2 linked regions of the Notamacropus eugenii genome follow. The protein of the gene in region 1 interacts with the protein of each later gene in a pairwise test. Links are inferred from orthologs where the notes say so. Each region holds a gene or a part of one and is shown on either strand. Other genes may lie near its edges.

Region 1 (4,377 bases):
CATAAAATGTATAGTATTGTATAATAACAACATAGTTTATCTTTTAATACCATAATAATTCAGACTTTTCTATTTTTTTTTAAGGCTAGACCTGAGATTTCATTGGTACAGAAAATTTCCCATAAGGAAACTCCCTCTACCAATACAGGTCAGTCCCCACTCTGCAACTTGGAATCTTAGCTGCCTGGAGTCACTGGTAAATAAGCCAGTATGTGTTAGAGGTGTGACTCCTGATTCAGAGGCTCGCTCTCTACCATCCTGCCTTTCCTTGGCACTGAGGATACAAAGATATAACAAAAACTAAAAAAAACTGGTCTTTTCCTTTAAAGGGCTTCCTTCTACTGGGGGGATTTTTTAGGACACTTAACCCAGCATTCTCAGCACCAGATACTCCTTTATCAGCTAGTCTATGGAAGAACGAAAATGAAGATCTAGTCACTCAGCTGCACAGTAGCATGCATCTTCATATACATTCACATGTAAACACACATGTGAATATACACAAAGACATGTATACATTCCACCCATACAAGGTACCCCTAATACTACATCCCTGAATAAGTCAAAAAATAAATTTTTAAAAGTCACATGTAAGAGAGTCCAGGATCAATAATCAACTCTCAGGACCCTGCTCCAAAACAAAGCCATGATAAAGACACTTCCCAGTGGAAAAATGATTATCATCTCCATTTTTCTGGTGTAAAATGAAGGGAGAGCAGAGATAGGAGGGGATGGATGCTCTCTCAGGTGTCATCCACATCCTGTGATTCTGTAAGCCTATCCAAGTTGGGGTATCTGCCCTTACTCTGTAGCGAAAGGCAGACTGTCATAGGCATACAGCCTTCCACCAAGAGAATCAAGGAATACCTCCTGAAGAGTCATGGGGATATTCCACCTGGTTTCTCTGGAACATCAGAAGCATTTCTAGACAGAGGGAGGTTATGCTTCAGTGTTGGAGGAGCTCTGACAGCAGCCATAGCCATATTCTCAGCCATTAAGTACTCCTGCCTGAGTCAGACTTAAGGTCTTCCTCCTTTTTCCTCCTATAGCCCAGGAAAGGCTGCAGTTGGGATGCACAAATTAGAGTCTGTTGTGGTCTACAAAATCAGATGCACACAGCAGGGTTTTCACAGTAGCATTCTGAAGAACTGCTTGGAAGAAAGCTTCTGCCCAATACCACAGAGTCGGTGCTAAGGAGTCAAAGGCATTACCTGGAAAAGCATTTCTAGGGAAGGATTCAAACCACAGCCCACTTGTGATGCCTGTCAGAGGCTGTGACACTATTTAGGTGGAGAAATTTTTTTTAGATGAATCTATTAAATTCTTTGCCAAGAACTGCAACATCCTTTAGAAAATAAACATACCCATTAAAGAAATTCGTACTCTATACCAGGGTAGGGAAAATATGGAAAATAATACAGACAGACACCCAACATCACTGCAGAGTTCCTCAGAAAATCCATATTCTAGGTACCCAGTGATTTATTATGTATGTGTGCTGGGGGAGGGAGAGGAGTGGATAAGAGCCAATAGGGGCTCGGGAACTACAGAGGGAGGGAAACCACACAGAGCTGGATAATTTTAGAGGATGATAATAACTACTGCAGGAATCTAGGAGGAGGAGGAAGAGGAAGGCTAGCAAAACAGAAACAGAAGTTCAGAGATTTCAGAGATCATTGGGTGGCTAGGATCTTGGTTTGTCCTGGTATCTCAATCTATTTCCAACCACGGGGGGTGGGAGCTTTCCTCTACCCCTGCTCCAGTGGATATTACCTAACCTTCCAACGAAGGGAGGGGGAGGGGGTTTTGCCTATCCTAGTAAACAATCGGGCACGTCATTACCCCCTATGTACAACGGCCAAATCACAACAGCAGCGATTATACAGCCTATGGGTCATTAGGTGAGAAGCCACGAAGGGGAGGCGGGGGAGATGAGTGCCCAGGAGACAATCCAGTGCCCTTGGCTACCAGTCCCAGGCATTTCAGTGGGGAGATAGTGGGGTCCGATTTGTCCCGAGCTCCTAAATCCTTCCCCAGGCTGACACCAAAAGGTTCCAGATGTGTAACAGCAGTTACAGTAGACAAGACAAGGGACCCCCATATATGCCCTCCACAGGCTCCTTAAGGTCAGAGAAAGGGAGAAACCCTTGTCCCCGGCTTGGAGACGTTTCTCCCGGGCTGTCTCTCACCCCCGACCGCTAGCCCGCTGCCCTCTGCTCTCTGCCCACCTCCCCACGGCCCTCACCCCTGCCCGATCGCACTCACTGGCGCAGCGTAACGCCCGCTGCCGCACCTCCCGGCCGCACAGGTCACACCAGCCCGAGTCAGTCCGCAGTGCCAGCTCGGTGAAGCGGTGCCCCTCGCCGCGCTCAGCCGGGACGCGCGGGTCCCGCGGCTGCTCGAAGATGCTCCTCACGTCCGGGGGCCGCGGCGCCCCGGGGCGCCGCCGCAGCCTCTGCTGAAGCCCCGGCCGGAGGGAGCGAGGGAGCCTGGGGGGCCGGGGCTGCGGCTCCAGGCCCCCCGCCAGCGCCCCCCGCGCTCCGCGCCCCTCGTGCGCCCCGGGCGCGGTGGAGAGGGGCACGGAGCCACAGCGGCGCGGGGGCCGGCCGGGCCGCGGAGGAGACTCGGAGCCACTCAGGCTCTGCAGATAGCGCGGCGGCTCGGGGTCCAGCAGGAGCGAGTAAGGGCGCTGCCCGATGGCCGGGGACGCCATGGCCATGCCCGGCTTGCCGCAGCTCCCTAAGACTGCGACGCGACTCCCGAGCCAGCCCCAGGAGAAGGGCGGCCCCCGCCGGGCGCGCCTTTAAAGGGACCGCAGCCAGCGGGGAGGGCCGGGGGCGGGGAGAGGGAGGGGTGGGAGGAAAGGATCCACTAAGTGACAGAAGACTGACGGACCACCCGAAGCACTGGTGGGATGGGCCGTGGGGGGTGCTAGGTGTACAGCCCGCGGCCCCTTTTTCTTTGGGGGAGGGCCCCGAAAAGACTGGGCAGGTGAGGAGGCAGAGAAAGTATTTGGGCAGAAAGCCCCCTCTACTCTACTCCTACCACATTCTAGCCACACACGCGCACACAGACTCACATAAGCTCACACAAACAGACACAGGCACACACACACACAGACATACACACAGACGCACACACAGACACACACAGACAGACACACAGACACACACAGACATACACACAGACACACACACAGACACACACACGCACACACACACAGACTCACATAATCTCACACACAGACACAGGCACACACACACACATACGCTCACGCTCACACACACACAGACACACACACACGCACACAGACTCACATAAGCTCACACAGACAAAGGCACACACACACAGACATACACACAGACACACACACGCACACACACACACAGACTCACATAATCTCACACAGACACAGACACACAGACATACACACAGACACGCACACGCACACACCCCTCTTATCCCCAGCTCAAATCCACAGGATCTGAAACTTCTGGCCCCCCTCAGCCAACACATCAGCATGAAAAGGGAAAGGAGCAGTACTGTGACGGAACGGCCCGGGAAGGGTAAGGTTTGGGTTGGCGGTGGGGGATGGGGGAGCCGATAAGGAGGAAGACAGTAATATATCGACTGCAGTCTCTTCCCCCCTTCCCCCCTTCCCCCCTTCCCCTTTCCCCGACAGCCCCAGCCAGGAAGGAGATTTCTCTTCCTCCTTGGAAAATTTTCATTTCGACTAAAATCTTTGGCCTCTCCGGCTCCCCAAGAGAAAAAGCAGACGTGAGCCTGGAGAGCGAGGGGGTGGGTGTAGAACCAAACCCAGCGCCCCCACACCCCTGCGGTAAGGCCCTAGACGCTTGGAGCGACGCTGTTAGGTCCCTACTTAGGCTTCCTTTTCTTAGCCCGAGAAACTGTCTCAACTTGCAGGAAAGGCTGGAAAGGCCAGACTTTCACTTTTGATTGAAGTCTTCCTTCCCTCCTCTCTCTTTCCCCCCTCCCCCGTCTCAGTTTTGCCAAGCAGCCTTCCAGGCAAAGGGACCAGGGCAATCCTAGTAAGATATGAATGGTACAGGCGGACCCCTGAGCAGGAAGAGTCCTTCACCCCTGCAGGTTTGGTTTGAGTCCAGAGCAATTTCTCTTGCCAGACTGGGTTCACCTTTCCCCTCGAGTTGCCAAAGTAATCACTGTTCCAAGGAGCCAGTGACAATAGTTAGTATTTACACTGCTCTTTTTAGGTTTATAAACATTCTTTACATGTGTTCATATAAGATGCTATTATTATCCCCGTTTTTCAACTGAGGAAACTGAGGCAGACAAGGATTAAGTGACTTGCCCAGGGTCACCCAGGGAGTGTCTGAGGCCAAATCCAGTTCTCTATGC
Region 2 (4,377 bases), on another chromosome or scaffold:
CCCTGAGTTCAAATTTGACCTCAGATCTTCACTAACTGTGTCACTTAAACTCTGTTAGCCTTAATCCACAGGAGAAGGAAATGGACAACCATTCCAGTATCTTTGCCTAGAAAACTCCAGGGGGAGTCACAGAGTCAGACATGACTGAACAACAATTCTTTTAATACTCACTTCCCAAGGATATTGAGGAGAGCTCTTAATAAACACTAACGTATTACAGAAATGTGAGTTATTATTAGTGATAGGAATAAAAACTTATTTATCTGGCATTTTACAAAACACATTCTCTACAGCAGCAGCCCTGTGAGGTAGATAGATCGTGTAAAAAATATGATCTAGCTCTGTCGCTTCCAAATGAAAAGAGACATGGGTTCAGGCTGGGACCAGATAATTACTGGCTGTGTGTAAGTAAGGAGGATTCTGTCGTCTTTTCAGAGGGGAGTGTCTCAGGATCCGCTGCCAGGGCAATGTCTAGTTTCTGAGTGTTAGATGCTAACTCCCTAAACGGCCCCCAGGGTCACGGGTGGTCACTCCTAGGATCACAGCGGTGGGCAGTCCTAGGCAGTGAGATAGCGATGATGGCACCGCTGGCACTATGCCTTATGGAGAGTGGGCACTGGTCAGCACGTGGGGAATGCCTAGAGGAATGCCCGCACCTGCCTCCACCTGCGGCACCGAGGCTACGGAGGAGGACGGGCAGGGCACAGGGCACGCGGGCGCCCGGCTCCGTGGACGCCCCCCTGCCGGAAGGGGGATTAGGAAGTGGTGTAGGTGCCCGGTGCACCCATCGAGAACACCAGCCTAGAATAAGCTCAGACCAGGAACCCCCAGCTGCCGTCCCGTCCTTCCTGCCGGGCCCCACCGCCTCTCCTGAAATCAGGGGTCCAACTGCGTGACTGCTGCGCTTCCTTCCAGGACCATACCCTGCCGCAGCAGGGCTTACGGCGACACCGCAGAGATGCCACTGGCCTAGGACCGTGGAGGAAGGCCTGGGCTCGAATCGCAGCTCTGGCGCTTACTGGCTAGGAGACCTTGCACTAAGTACTTCCCCTCTCTCCCGCCCCAGCTTCCCCCTCTGTAAAATGGGCACGTGGGTCGCTGCCGCGTGATCGCCATGCCCTCTCTACTGCCCAGCACTGAGACCCTGGCTGAGGCGCCGAAGGCCGCGGGGCTGCCAGGCACTAGTACAGACCCCTGGCTGCCCCCTTGCGGGGCCTCTCTGGCAACGGTATACTTACTCTCCCGGCCCCGCCCCCGAGGGGCACGTGATCCAGGCCCCGCCCACTGGGAGCCTCTCCACCTCCTCCACCTCCCCCTCCCTTCCCCTCCCCTCCCCTCCGCGGCGGCCCCACCAGCCCCACTTCCGGCCCGGGCGGAAAGCGGAAGTGTCGGAGGGACCGGTTGGGGATGGGGCAGTAGCAGGTTCGAGCTGCCGGCGGCCGCGCTATGGAGACGGTGCAGTTGAGGAACCCGCCGCGCCGGTGAGTGTGTGTGTGTGTGTGTGTAAGTGTAAGGGGGAGGAGACGAATATGTGTGAGTGTGTTAGGGGGAGACTACGTTTGCGAGTGTGTCGGAGGAGGCTGTGTGTGTGAGAGGAGAGGCTGTGCGCCAGTGGGAGGGGGACCCGTGTGGGCGTGAATGTGTGAGTTGTGAATGAGGGGTGAGGAGAGTGCGTGTGTGAGAGAGGTGCTATGTGTGTATGTGAGTGAGAGGAAGGGGGTGTGTGTGTGCGTGCGCGCGCGTGTGTGTGAGCGAGTGCGGGAACACTGTGCAGACCTCGAAGTGGGGGCCGGAGGGCCGTGGATGGGGTTCACCGTGAGGAGGAGAGGCTCCCTACGAGCCCAGGGATGGCAGGAGGAGCCTGTGGGAAAGAGTTAGTCCGAACGATACCTTTGCTGGGTTCCCCGTCCAGTACTGGGGAAGTGAGAAGGGTGCTGGGTAAACATCTAGGTGATCTGCATTAAGAGGACTGTCCTCCTGATTGAGTTATCATCCTTCAGAGCTAGAGTCTGAAGTGACCCACAAGCGCTTTCTTTATATTCTCCTCATAGACTTTTAAAATTCAGTCTGCCACCTTGGGCACAGAGATGGACAGAAGGGAAAGTAGTGTGCACTTCTAAATCTGTGATTCTGACATTTCTGAGGACCCTTCTCTATCTGTGTTTTAAGGTTCCTTCCACTTCTGAAGTTTTGGATCTGAAATAATAATGCCCTGTCAGTAACAGAGCAAATGCTGTTTGCCTCCCTGAGTTAGGTTCTCACACGTGTGTCAGGGATAATGAAATAAGAGCATTCTTACTTTGCTCAAACTTGTGATTTGTGAAATGACAAGGCAAGGTCGACTTTACTTTGCTTAAAGTAGTCATTTGTTTAAAAGTAATTTCTTCACATATACTGACATTAGACAGTTAAGACTCAGAGCTTGTCTTCAGTAAACTGTTGATACTACCCTCAGGATTCTTTGGATGGCATGTGCCCATACTTTGTTCATGTTGGCAAAGAGCACTTTCGGTACGAGTTACAGAACTACTGACTGATCACCGAGGCTAAGTTTAAAGGCTGGTTTAAAGGATTGGTGACAGTGTATATGACAATATATGCAAAAAACCACATGTGTAACTTTTCAGGTTATCATTTGGACTATGCGCAAGCGTTTAAGAACTCTTGATATTTTGGATCTCTGGTCTCTTACTCTTACTTCAGAGAGTAAATTGATGCTTTCTCATCTTGTACGATTCTTCTCTTGTTTCTGTAATTTCTCCATGAAGGACCTGCTCAATGTGCTTAAGACCTTCCTGGAGTTCTTTGAATATCACAATATAGCATGTGGTCTGTCCATCTGTTTCCAGAAAAATAGAAAAAGTAATAGATTGTTCGTTTATTTTAAAAAAAGATGATTAAGAAGACATCAGTCATTGTCAACATGTTTTTGCTTATTTTCTCATTTCTAAAATCTTTTGAGAATTGTTGATCCTTGATGAAGACATGACAGAGGAATGGGTAGACTGTGAACAAGGACTTTCCACAGCAAGTTACATCTTCATAGTAATATAGTTGATTAAGAAGTACAGAAAAATGTAAGATTCTACTGTGTTTATCATTTTCTAAAAATTGGTAGAAAAAATGCATCCCTAACACCTTTACTCAAATGAGAAATTTCCATATAAAGATTAAAATGTTACACAAATGTTAAAATCGTGTAAGATTCCATGATAGGCACTCCTAGGGAGATCATTTCATTGATCCACTAAGTGTCAATCTCACAAAACAAGTAAGACACATGTTCTTGTAAATTGTTCACAAGTGTCATAGAAGCTAACCTACATACAACCCAAATAGAAGAGCGATTTCCTGTCATTAGCAAGATTGTCTTGATACTGCTAATGTTTATACATGACATTGTTCTGATTACCTTGAGTTCCAGAGTGCTGCAGGAAGATCCATAATCATTAATTGTTTTGGTTGTTTTTTTCCCTGTATAGATGTGTAAGCAAAAGTCACTGAAAAAAAAAATATGTTGCCCAGGCAACATTTAGTGAAATAGGAAGTTCACTGTGATAATTGATCATTATAGATAAATTTGGACGAGTGTTATGTTATGAATGGATAATGAGATGAACTTCGAATTGAGTAGGAGGAAAAGATCGGACTGAATCATTTGGGAATTTGCACCTCCTTGTTAGTGTCTTAAGTTGCTCTCTGCTGTAAAAGAATAACTCTAATGCTAAAATTCTGCCATTGATGCTAATTATCTGTCAAGTCATCACGCTCCACTATCTCAGGAAAATCAAGGTTGAAGGTACTCTGGATGTCAATGGAAAGATGCATGGGACTTGTAAAGCTGTAGCATTTTTCCAAAGATAACTCGGGGGTGAGAAGCAGTATTAAATTAAATTACTAAGAACCTTTTTTGATTGAAATCTTTATTGATGATGTAGTAATGCCCAGGTGTAAAAATTTCAGTCTGAAAATTTTGGGGGAAATACAGATGAAACCAGTAGTTACCTATCCTTTAAAAATAATTGTTTTTATCTTATCATTGTTGATATGTTTTGTTTCTTTATTACCAGAAATTCAGAATCTATCCCTACCTCCCACATTTCCTCTTGTGACAAAGATGAATGGAAGCAGTTCAGCAAAGCCAGTTGTCATACCACCTGTGTCTGACAGAATATAAAATGTTCCTCCTCCTCTGTGACGAATAGAGGGAGATGCATTTTCTCAAGTCTTCTCTGGGGCTAATCTTTGTCCTTATAATTACACGGGATTCAGTTTCATTTTCCACTTCTTTCTTTTTGCGTTGTTGCAGTTCTTGTGTATATTGTGTTCCTCTCTATATCATTTCACTCTATATCACGTCTTATCAATCTTCATATG

Evidence for each region.
Region 2: the proteins of RASSF5 (region 1) and STK4 interact in binary tests that used the Homo sapiens proteins (3 or more experiments, as listed by UniProt). The link is inferred for Notamacropus eugenii from reciprocal best matches to the Homo sapiens genes RASSF5 and STK4.

The regions. Positions count from the first base shown.
Region 1 is NC_092873.1:432,871,134-432,875,510, forward strand, and holds the start of RASSF5 (ras association domain-containing protein 5), read right to left. Parts: upstream 2,784-4,377; 5' UTR 2,720-2,783; coding exon 2,266-2,719; intron 1-2,265. UniProt on the Homo sapiens protein: Potential tumor suppressor. Seems to be involved in lymphocyte adhesion by linking RAP1A activation upon T-cell receptor or chemokine stimulation to integrin activation.
Region 2 is NC_092872.1:521,329,969-521,334,345, forward strand, and holds the start of STK4 (serine/threonine-protein kinase 4), read left to right. Parts: upstream 1-1,264; 5' UTR 1,265-1,446; coding exon 1,447-1,481; intron 1,482-4,377. UniProt on the Homo sapiens protein: Stress-activated, pro-apoptotic kinase which, following caspase-cleavage, enters the nucleus and induces chromatin condensation followed by internucleosomal DNA fragmentation.